2 linked regions of the Caenorhabditis elegans genome follow. The protein of the gene in region 2 interacts with the protein of the main gene of each other region in a pairwise test. Each region holds a gene or a part of one and is shown on either strand. Other genes may lie near its edges.

Evidence for each region.
Region 1: the proteins of arp-6 (region 2) and ahcy-1 interact in a two-hybrid assay, tested with the Caenorhabditis elegans proteins (one large-scale study listed by BioGRID).

Annotation. Positions count from the first base shown.
Region 1 is NC_003279.8:6,834,247-6,838,640, reverse strand, and holds ahcy-1 (Adenosylhomocysteinase), read right to left. Parts: upstream 2,173-4,394; 5' UTR 2,157-2,172; coding exon 1,935-2,156; intron 1,867-1,934; coding exon 1,111-1,866; intron 1,043-1,110; coding exon 707-1,042; 3' UTR 501-706; downstream 1-500. Other genes in the region: dpf-3 (Dipeptidyl Peptidase Four (IV) family), read right to left, coding at 1-67, 114-287; teg-4 (Splicing factor 3B subunit 3), read right to left, coding at 4,239-4,283. UniProt on the Caenorhabditis elegans protein: Adenosylhomocysteine is a competitive inhibitor of S-adenosyl-L-methionine-dependent methyl transferase reactions; therefore adenosylhomocysteinase may play a key role in the control of methylations via regulation of the intracellular concentration of adenosylhomocysteine.
Region 2 is NC_003280.10:8,034,173-8,039,229, forward strand, and holds arp-6 (Actin-like protein C08B11.6), read right to left. Parts: upstream 3,175-5,057; coding exon 3,098-3,174; intron 3,051-3,097; coding exon 2,613-3,050; intron 2,571-2,612; coding exon 2,415-2,570; intron 2,370-2,414; coding exon 2,208-2,369; intron 2,163-2,207; coding exon 1,739-2,162; 3' UTR 1,705-1,738; downstream 1-1,704. Other genes in the region: sap-49 (Splicing factor 3B subunit 4), read right to left, coding at 307-448, 522-1,291, 1,341-1,595; C08B11.9 (uncharacterized protein), read right to left, coding at 3,370-3,881, 3,924-3,972; Ubiquitin carboxyl-terminal hydrolase ubh-4, read right to left, coding at 4,208-4,388, 4,432-5,057.

The DNA of each region.
Region 1 (4,394 bases), on a different chromosome or scaffold from region 2:
TGAGACGATCTTTTTCTGCACGCATGAGGCTAATTTTTGTGAATCCTTGTGTTGTCATGCCGCGCACCTGAATCAGTTTATCGAAATAATATTTTTTAAATCATTTTTCGAACCTCCGTCTTCCAACTTCTTGCATGATCTATTAATTGACTGAATGAACGAGTCTCAAATCTTGCCGGCTCATTTTCCCTCATTTTCGTGTGGGTAAGTTGTTTTAGTACTGAAAAATCAATAAATGGGGAAACATTTTGCAGGTTATAGAGAAACTGATAAAAATTGAACATCATGGGAATTTCTGTAAATATAAAAAGTGAAACACGAAATGAGTGAAGCGTTGAGAGAAATAAAGAACTTATTTATCAATAGAGCGCCCTTCACCCCGACAAATTTAAAATTTGTTTTTCCCTGCTTGAAATTTCCCGGGCGTAGATCTGAAAATTCGATAAACTCACGCCTAATCAAACGTTTTCAGAATAATTTCTCAAACAATCGTCAAAGTTACTCCATAAAACATTTATGTCCAAAAGACAAACAACAGAACCAAATCAACGAGTTGAAGAAAAACGACTAAATCAGGCGATTATGTATTTGGGGGAAAAGCGGGTAGATGGGGAACAATACAACCAGTTCAAGATCATATGAAGTTTGAGGGCAATACAATTTAAAACAGTTAAAAAAATATCCGTATGGGGTAGAACCAACAAAATTAATATCTGTAGTGGTCTGGCTTGTATGGTCCGGCAACTGGAACTCCAAGGTATGAAGCTTGCTCGTCGGAAAGCTTAGTAAGCTTAACTCCCAATTGAGCCAAGTGAAGATAAGCGACCTCCTCGTCAAGGGTTTTTGGAAGAACGTAGAGTCCGAGCTTGTATTCTTGTGGAGTTCCGAACTTGGTCCAGAGCTCAACTTGAGCGAGAACTTGGTTGGTGAAGGAGTTGGACATGACGAAAGATGGATGTCCGGTGGCACATCCAAGGTTGACAAGACGTCCTTCGGCAAGGAGGATGACGTGACGTCCGTTCTTGAGGGTGTAACGGTCAACCTGAAAAAAGTTGGTTCAAACTTCTATCGATGATTGTGAATTCATCCTAATTCTGAACATTTTCTTACCTGTGGCTTGATGGTGTCCTTCTTGGTGGCATTGGTGTTGAGCCATTTGACGTCAATCTCGCAATCGAAGTGACCAACGTTGCAGACGATAGCGTCATTTGGAAGAAGCTCGAAGTGCTTTCCGGTAACGATGTCCTTGCATCCAGTGGTGGTGACAATGATGTTAGCCTTTGGTGCAGCCTCCTCGAGGGTGGTCACTTCGTATCCTTCCATAGCGGCTTGAAGAGCATTGATTGGATCGATCTCGGTGACAATGACACGGGAACCGAAAGCCTTGAGGGAAGCAGCAGATCCCTTTCCGACATCTCCGTATCCAGCGACAACGGCTACCTTTCCGGCGAGCATAACATCAGTGGCGCGCTTGATTCCGTCTGGGAGAGACTCGCGGATTCCGTACAAGTTGTCGAACTTGGACTTGGTGACAGAGTCGTTGACGTTGATAGCTGGAACCTTAAGGTCTCCCTTGGCGAGCATCTTAGCCAAGTTGTGGACTCCAGTGGTGGTCTCCTCGGAAAGTCCGCGGATTCCAGCGAGGTATTGTGGGTACTTGGCGTGAACCAAGTTGGTAAGATCACCTCCATCATCAAGGATCATGTTGAGTGGTTGTCCATCCTTGAAGACGATAGTTTGCTCAATGCACCATTCGTATTCCTCGTCGGTCTCTCCCTTCCAGGCGTAGACTGGGACTCCGGTCTGGGCAATGGCGGCAGCAGCGTGATCTTGGGTGGAGAAGATGTTGCAGGAAGACCATTGGACCTGGAAAAAGTTTCGATTTTTCAAACCAACTTATTTTAATACTAATTCTTTCAAAAAACAAGATTTACCTCAGCTCCGAGAGCAGTAAGAGTCTCAATGAGAACAGCGGTTTGGATGGTCATGTGGAGACATCCGGCGATTCTAGCTCCCTTCAATGGCTGGGATGGTCCGTACTTGGAGCGCATAGCCATAAGTCCTGGCATCTCATTCTCAGCAAGGATGATCTCCTTGCGTCCGAAATCGGCGAGCTTGATATCAGCGACCTTGTAAGCTGGCTTAGACTGGGCCATTGCGAATGTGTTTTACCTGAAATAATTAGAAATTTATTTTAATCTGCAGGACGGATAGGGAAGAGAAGCGAAGAAGTCCATAAGACGGAAATAAAGAAAAAAAATGAGACACTTTTTTGAAAGTTCGGCTGTGAAAAGGATAAAACAAGAGTTTGTGAAGAAAAAAAAACTGATTGTGAGAAGGTTATTTTCCAATTTATAAGTTGTTTTTGTTTATCAGAGAATCGAAAATAAACAAAAACAACCTTGGCTTACGTGGATTGCCAAAACATCAATTTTTAAATGGAAAAAAACAATAATCCATGTGTAAATAAGTAAACCCGAAAATACGGAAGATAGTTAGTGGACGAGAACTTTTTTAGGTTTTAGAGTTTAATATGTGGGAAAATCTATTAAATCTGGAACCATGACGAAGAAATTTACAACTAGTCGGTCTTTTAAACATAAAACAAAGCGAGGAACTTTGCAAAAACTTTTCCCAAAAAGAAAGCTTTTTCGAAATTTCTACTGTTTCGATCAAAGGCGCAGTGATTTTTCTCAGTGGGTCCCGCCACGAAGGCCTAAAATTTGGACTTACTCGCCGCGAAACGATGATTTTTATTTGAAAATTACTAAAGAAAATTTAAGAAAAAAACGTATTGACACATGAGGTGAGATATGCATCCTGCGATGCTCGTCAACCGTCAAGACAGCGTTATTTATGGAGAATTGGCGATAAAATCTTGATAGCCTTGTAAAATGTAAGATTACTTTGGCCGATAGCTTTGGTAAAGTGACCTTCCTGAATTCCACACCACCGCAGATTTCTTTGAAGATTCTGTACGACCTAGAAAAGGATATCACGTTTCAGATTAAATTTTAGGATTCGTCGATGATAGATTTCCCCCACTTTCCTCTTGTTCTAGAATGATTCAGTACCTTTTCAGTCTGAAAGGGAAAAATCACTTTCTTTTTTTTTTGCTAGCCCGTATTCCTACGGCGTTATTTCTGGCCCAACGGCGGCCTTTTATAGCACCCAAATGCCTGTGCCACATCAGTCTCCGCCCACTTTTCGTCGTGGATGTGCTGCGTCTCTCATTCTCCGCTTCTGTGTACTTTTCTATGTTAGATGTGCAGGAATGATAAGAGCTTGAGAGAAAGCAGAGAAAGAGGAAAGCGAGGGAAATTCAAAAATTAATTTTCTATTTTTGACACATTTTTTACAATGTGGCGCCTCAATTTGGATAATGTAATTTTTCATGCAAGACGTCGACCGGGACAGTTTCAAAATTTCTAAGTGATATGTTCTGAAATATAACTGTGTTCTGAAATATAATTTTGCTCATTACAATTAAAACTAAAATTTTCTTTGCAAATCTCGTTAAATTCTAGAAGAATCTATTAGAGATCTATGTATCTCTTACTTTCTATCATCCAAGGTCACTTCTTATCGTAGTTCTTTTTTCGAAATGCCCTCCGCCGCCAATTTCGTAGACAATTAGGTTTCGCTTATCAATTTTGCAAAGTTCAGGTGGTTTTAATGTCTAATAGAATTCTATAAACTTTTTAATGTTTTAATCTCCTAGAATAGACTTCATTTAATTTTCCAAATAAAATTTCTTTTGGTTTTTCCAAAATCCTCGAATGCTGAGAATCCGGTGCAGTTTCTCTGAGATATCTATTTCCCGGAAAATGATTTTTGTAATTTAGTATCGGAAATTTTGGCAAGGCGAATTTTTCTAGACCCACTTCGACCGTATACCTCATCTGGAATTCCAGACAGCTGATCAGCTACACATCACGCCATTCACAATGTCTCATATTTTATGTTTCTTCTCTTATCTCAATGATTATATCATGGTGATCTTGTTAACAATCGGCGCACGAGAAACAAAAAAGGAGTAAAAGAATATTAGTGAAAGGTAAAAAGGAGAGATTTCCTGAAAAAATCTTTTAAGAAAGTTATTTAACAATTTATAATTTTAGGATGGGAATAGGTTGGGACGGGAGGAAACGAAGATCAAATGAGAGAATCAGGAGAAAAAACATTTAAAAATGAAATAAAAATGTAGAAATTCAACAAATAAAAATAAATAAATTATGTTAAAAGGCGTAGCGAGTGCGAATGTCTTCCAACTTCTTTGAGATCTGAAAATTAATTTAATTTAGGCTATAATATGGAAATTTTTTGTAGTTTTAATAATTTTCTGATCACTTTCTCATGTTTCTGTTGTCTTGAAATTGCATAATCTCGTTAGG
Region 2 (5,057 bases):
GTACAGATTGTGTGAGAACATTAAAATGCAACAAAAAACCGCTGAAGAACGTGACTTGACGTATCGAAGTGGTAATTGGAAAAGAAAGGTGTGATTGTGATGAGATTGATAAGAGAGAGGAGGAGATGATGGTTGTGGAATATGATTGAAGTTGAATTGACATCAAATAGAAATTGGTTTATGGAATGAGAATAAAACGAAATAATTTAAAATGTAAAAGTTTAGAACAGCTGAAATGAAGATCTTTTCGTGAAAAACAAAAGTTTCTGAAAATAAAGATTAAGGTATTCCAATCCGATCGAGTAATTATGATGGAGGTGGTGGAGGTGGGATCATTCCATGACCAGATGGTGGTGCTGGAGGACGACTTGGTGGTGGAGGTGGATACATTCCTGGTCCAGCAGAAGGATATCGCGGCGGTGGTGGTGGCGGCATGCCTCCCGGATATCTGAAAAGAAAAATTGTGTAAGTTCGAACGGTGAACATGAACGATATTTTCAACTTAGAACAAAAATATATACCTCATCCCTGGTGGAGGTGGCGGCGGCATTCCACCCATTCCTGGAGGACCAAATCGTGATGGTGGTGGTGGTGGAGGCATACCAGGCATACCTGGTGGTCCTGGAGTTCTTCCTGGTGGAGGCGGTGGTGGTGGCGGCCACATTCCAGATGATGGTGGTGGTGGTGGACGAGGAGTCATTCCTGGCGTTGGCGGCATTGGAGGTGGCATTGGTGTCACACTTGGTGGAGGTGGTGGTACTGGTGGATATTGTCCTTGATATCCAGATTGAGCCATTCCCATCAATGGTGGTGGTTGATAGCCTGGGCGTCCTGTTGCATGAGCAGCAATAGCAGCATGAACTCCTGGCATGGCCAAAGGTGTGTTAGCTGGAACACCAAGTGGAACGTCAGAAAATACTTGATGTGGCCGGTCTTTTGGAAACAGTGGATTTTGTGCAGCCAGCATACGCTCCGCTGCTGTTCCGTGTCTTTCTCCTTTTGAATCTCTCTTGAAAGCGTATGAGACGGTGATAGCTCGATTGCAAAGAAATTGGCCGTTCATAGCTTCTAATGCTGTATCTGAAGCTTCGAATGAAGCGAAGTTGATGAACGCGAATCCTTTAGACGTTCCCGAATCAACATCTCTCATGATTTTTGGAACTTGAAGAATAACTCCAAAAGCACTGAACGTATCGTATAGCAATTTCTCATCGACTTCTGGATCCAGATTTCCAACAAAAATATTTGCACCAACATCCATATTCTTTTCATGAGCCGATGCTTTGTTCACCTGAATATTATTTTTTTAAATAATAAACTAAACATATTTGATAGCTTACTTTAATTGGCTTTCCGTATAATTTGATCATGTTTAAAATTTTGATTGCATAATCTGCATCTTCTTCTCCCATGAACTCCACAAATCCGAAACCTTGATGATTGGCAGTTACTCGATCTTTCGGCATATTGACACTGACAACAGGTCCTGCTTGTACCATAAGTTCCCATAGGATGGACTCTGACACCTTCTCGTCTAATCCACCAACGTAAATTGTTGCATCTTGGTTTCTTTCCACTATCGGCCCTGCTGACATCTGAAATATTGATTTTTAAAAAATGAACAGCACATGAAAAAAAATAAGTCCAACAAAGGAAAATAAACCTCTGATCTCAAAAAAAAATATTTTGGCATATATATATATAAAACATGTTTATTTTAAAGTGATAAGAGATCAGTTCAGAAATCTTCATCTTCCTTTGGGGATTTCTCCCTCTGATCATCGAAATTACGAGTTCCCTTCAGTTCATCGGATTGCACAAGAGTCTGGAAAAAGTTAGAGAACTCCAACGAGTCTCCTCGTTCGTCCCAATCTTTTCGGTTGATCCATGGAACTTTAGAAGCAGTGAGAAGCTCTTGACCACAATGCCAGGAATGAGTTTGTGGGTTTATTACGTCATTTGAAACATTCAATCCATATTCTGCTGGCAGCATTGATCGAACTTCTCGTTCCAGGCGTTCACGAAATCCTGGGAAGCACGACGATCCGCCAATCACGATGATATTTTCTGCCAGAGCAGGCCGTAATGCTTCTGGACATTGACAAATACTCTCGATAACAGCTTCTGCGACACCACATTGATCAATATCAATATCCGAGGGACTGCAACAGATAAAATAGTTTATACTTTTTGCCGAAATTACTAACTTGAATAAGATTTCCGGAATGGCGAATCTCTCAACTCCCAAATGAATTGAAGGAATTTGTGGATCGTGTGGCTCTTTAACGTCTTTCACTACACCTCGGAATGTCGAGTGGAAATCCGGCATAATATATCGTTTCATTGTTGTATTTTCTTGAAATCGATTCCTGAATAAAAACAATATAATTAGTATTCTTCATTTTTATACCTACCTAGCCTCTTTCATGCTCTCATCAAAATTTTGTGAGACGAAGCAAAGATCCTCTTTACATTCGTTGATAACGTATGTTTCTTCGCTAACATTCAATTGTCGGTAAGATACCCAGTCCTTCAATTTATTTGTTAACGCTTTTCCACCAACATCGATCCTTAAAAATAAAGCTAATTGTAGTTTGAAAACACTTTCCAACCTTATAACACTATCCTGAATAAGCATTCCATTCACAAATGAAGCTACCGTAGTCCATGAAAACCCGGAATCCACAACAACTGCACACTTTTCGTTGTTGATTTTATTTGAATGTTTTGCCACCAAAGTCGAAGCAGACGTTTTGTGTACCTCTGTGAAGCCGAAATAATCAAACAATATTTCACTAGAGACATCAGGAAGAGCTGGGATTAGATAGTTATTATCTGTGAGTGCAATTCGAGAAGTAGACGCCTCCACATCCATAGATCCGAACGTTTTCTCCCAGATTTGCTGTTGTGTATCCCAATTCACCACATATCCTCTTTCAATTGGTCGCACATAGAATAGCGAAAACTTGTCCGAACATTCTTCTTGCTCGTGTGCAACAAAAACCCGCTTCTTTTCATGTTTCGCTTTCACAATACTGTTTGGAACTAATCTGAAAATATTTAAATTATATTGATATTTTTCTTATTAGAAACAAACCTAGGGGACTCTGAGTCTATCGTACCTATCTTCATATTATGGCCACCATTGTCAAAAATAATTGTTGTTAAACTCATCTACAAAATTATTTCACAGAATGAGTAGTGTGATTTTTCCAGATAAAAAATTAAGAGTAGGGTGGTAACCTATAAGATAACAAATAATTTCGAATTATCACAATATTCATGAAAGTATCAGGCACACAAGAAACAACCCGGTTATTGGAATTGAATTGAAAATCTATGCGTTTTTACGAATGTTACATATGCTTCTTAAAAATTAGGATTCCCACGTAAGGCGACCGGTCCTTCCCGTTGAAGAAGTTGCTGAAGACGAGCGACTTCTTCGTCTTTACGATCCATTTCTCCTACAGGAGTCCAGCTTCTGTCATATTCCAACCGATATGATCCAAGATATTCTTCTTTCTTCTCTTGGTATCCCCACTCGTTAGGAGCCAACATAGAGAAATATTTGTTCATGCTTCCTTGCTTCTGGTACAAATGGTAAATTCGGCCAGGTTGCTTCTCCATGTTACAGGGAACGTTATGCAAATGCTCATCGCGTTGAGCATCTTCGAGAACTGCACGAGCTGCCATATGTAATTGTTCCATTTGATCGGCAATTTGCTTCAGACGATCGCAAGCTCTTCCTTTCACCAATTGGCGGGCACTGTTTAACTGATTTGCCAGCGCGACCAAATCATCGGCATCAATTTTGTCAGTTTGACGAGCACTGGTTACAAGGCGCTGATCTTCACTTCGGGACTGCACGAGAGGAACGTTTACTGAAAAATTTAATTACTATTGATATCAAAATTTGTTCGTACTTCTTTCTCCTCTTTGTGGAAGCTGGACAAGAGGCATATCACTCGCCATTTCTACTTCATTTATCTCCATCTGTAACTAATCTTGTATTAAGCTGTGACAGGCCTTTAAAAACACATGCAATCGAAAATAGGCTGGACGGATTGAGACCAGAAATGATGCAAATATAAAAACAAATTATTGAACTAATAAATTTAATGTCTGATATTAAAACAAAAACAATCAAGAACCCATTTAAATTATGAGAATACAAATAAATAATTCAAGTACGTTTAGAATGCAATATCTATTGTTTTCTCTTCAATTCAAGCTTGGTTATGTCTGTATTCAGCTTGGATTTTTCTTTAGCGGCTTGATAAGCGTTGTCGACAAGTCCAACCAATTTTCCTTCCTTTGCAAGAATCTTCATCAATTCAATTACGAACGGAGTATAATTGTGACGTCGGCGATTGTTTTCCTTGCGGTACCTGAATTTCACACATAAAATATTTAAATTAGAGCATTTCTTACATTTCCATTTTGTAATCCTCATCAGCAATGGCTTTATTGAGATCGGCTATCTGCTCTTCAAGCTCATTATTTTCATTTGCTTGAATCAAGTTCTCCATCATCTCCTGCAGTTTCTGTTTGCGGTTTGGAACAAGTGCCATCAAATTGAACGTGATCTCCCCTTCGCTGTATTTTTGCATTCTTTGTTGAATTACGGGCTTAATTGCCTCAATCCAGTCTTGTTCTTTTTGGAACTCAGCAACCTCAAGTGGGAGCTCACGAAGCCCATCCAGCTCGTAGACCTTATTACCGATTGGCACGTATGTCACAAAGTGATAGTTATCCTCCGATTCTCCGCCTTTGATATCAAGTTCGAAAAGAGTCTGACGAGAAAAACTATTGTGAACAGTGCGAATTTCCTCGCTGTTCGAAAGACAATGACCGCGAGTATTCGGATCCAAGTCAATCGCGAATTCTTTGTACTGATTCAGGATATTTCCAAGCTTCACATCGGTATCTTCCACGTTCATAAGCAAGTTGATGAGAGCTTGAGTAGCACAAGCGTTTTGAATTGTTTGATGAGCAAAAAAGATGTTTTGCTTGTCACTAGGAATCCCAGTTGTTTCATCTCCCTGGCGCCACTTGAA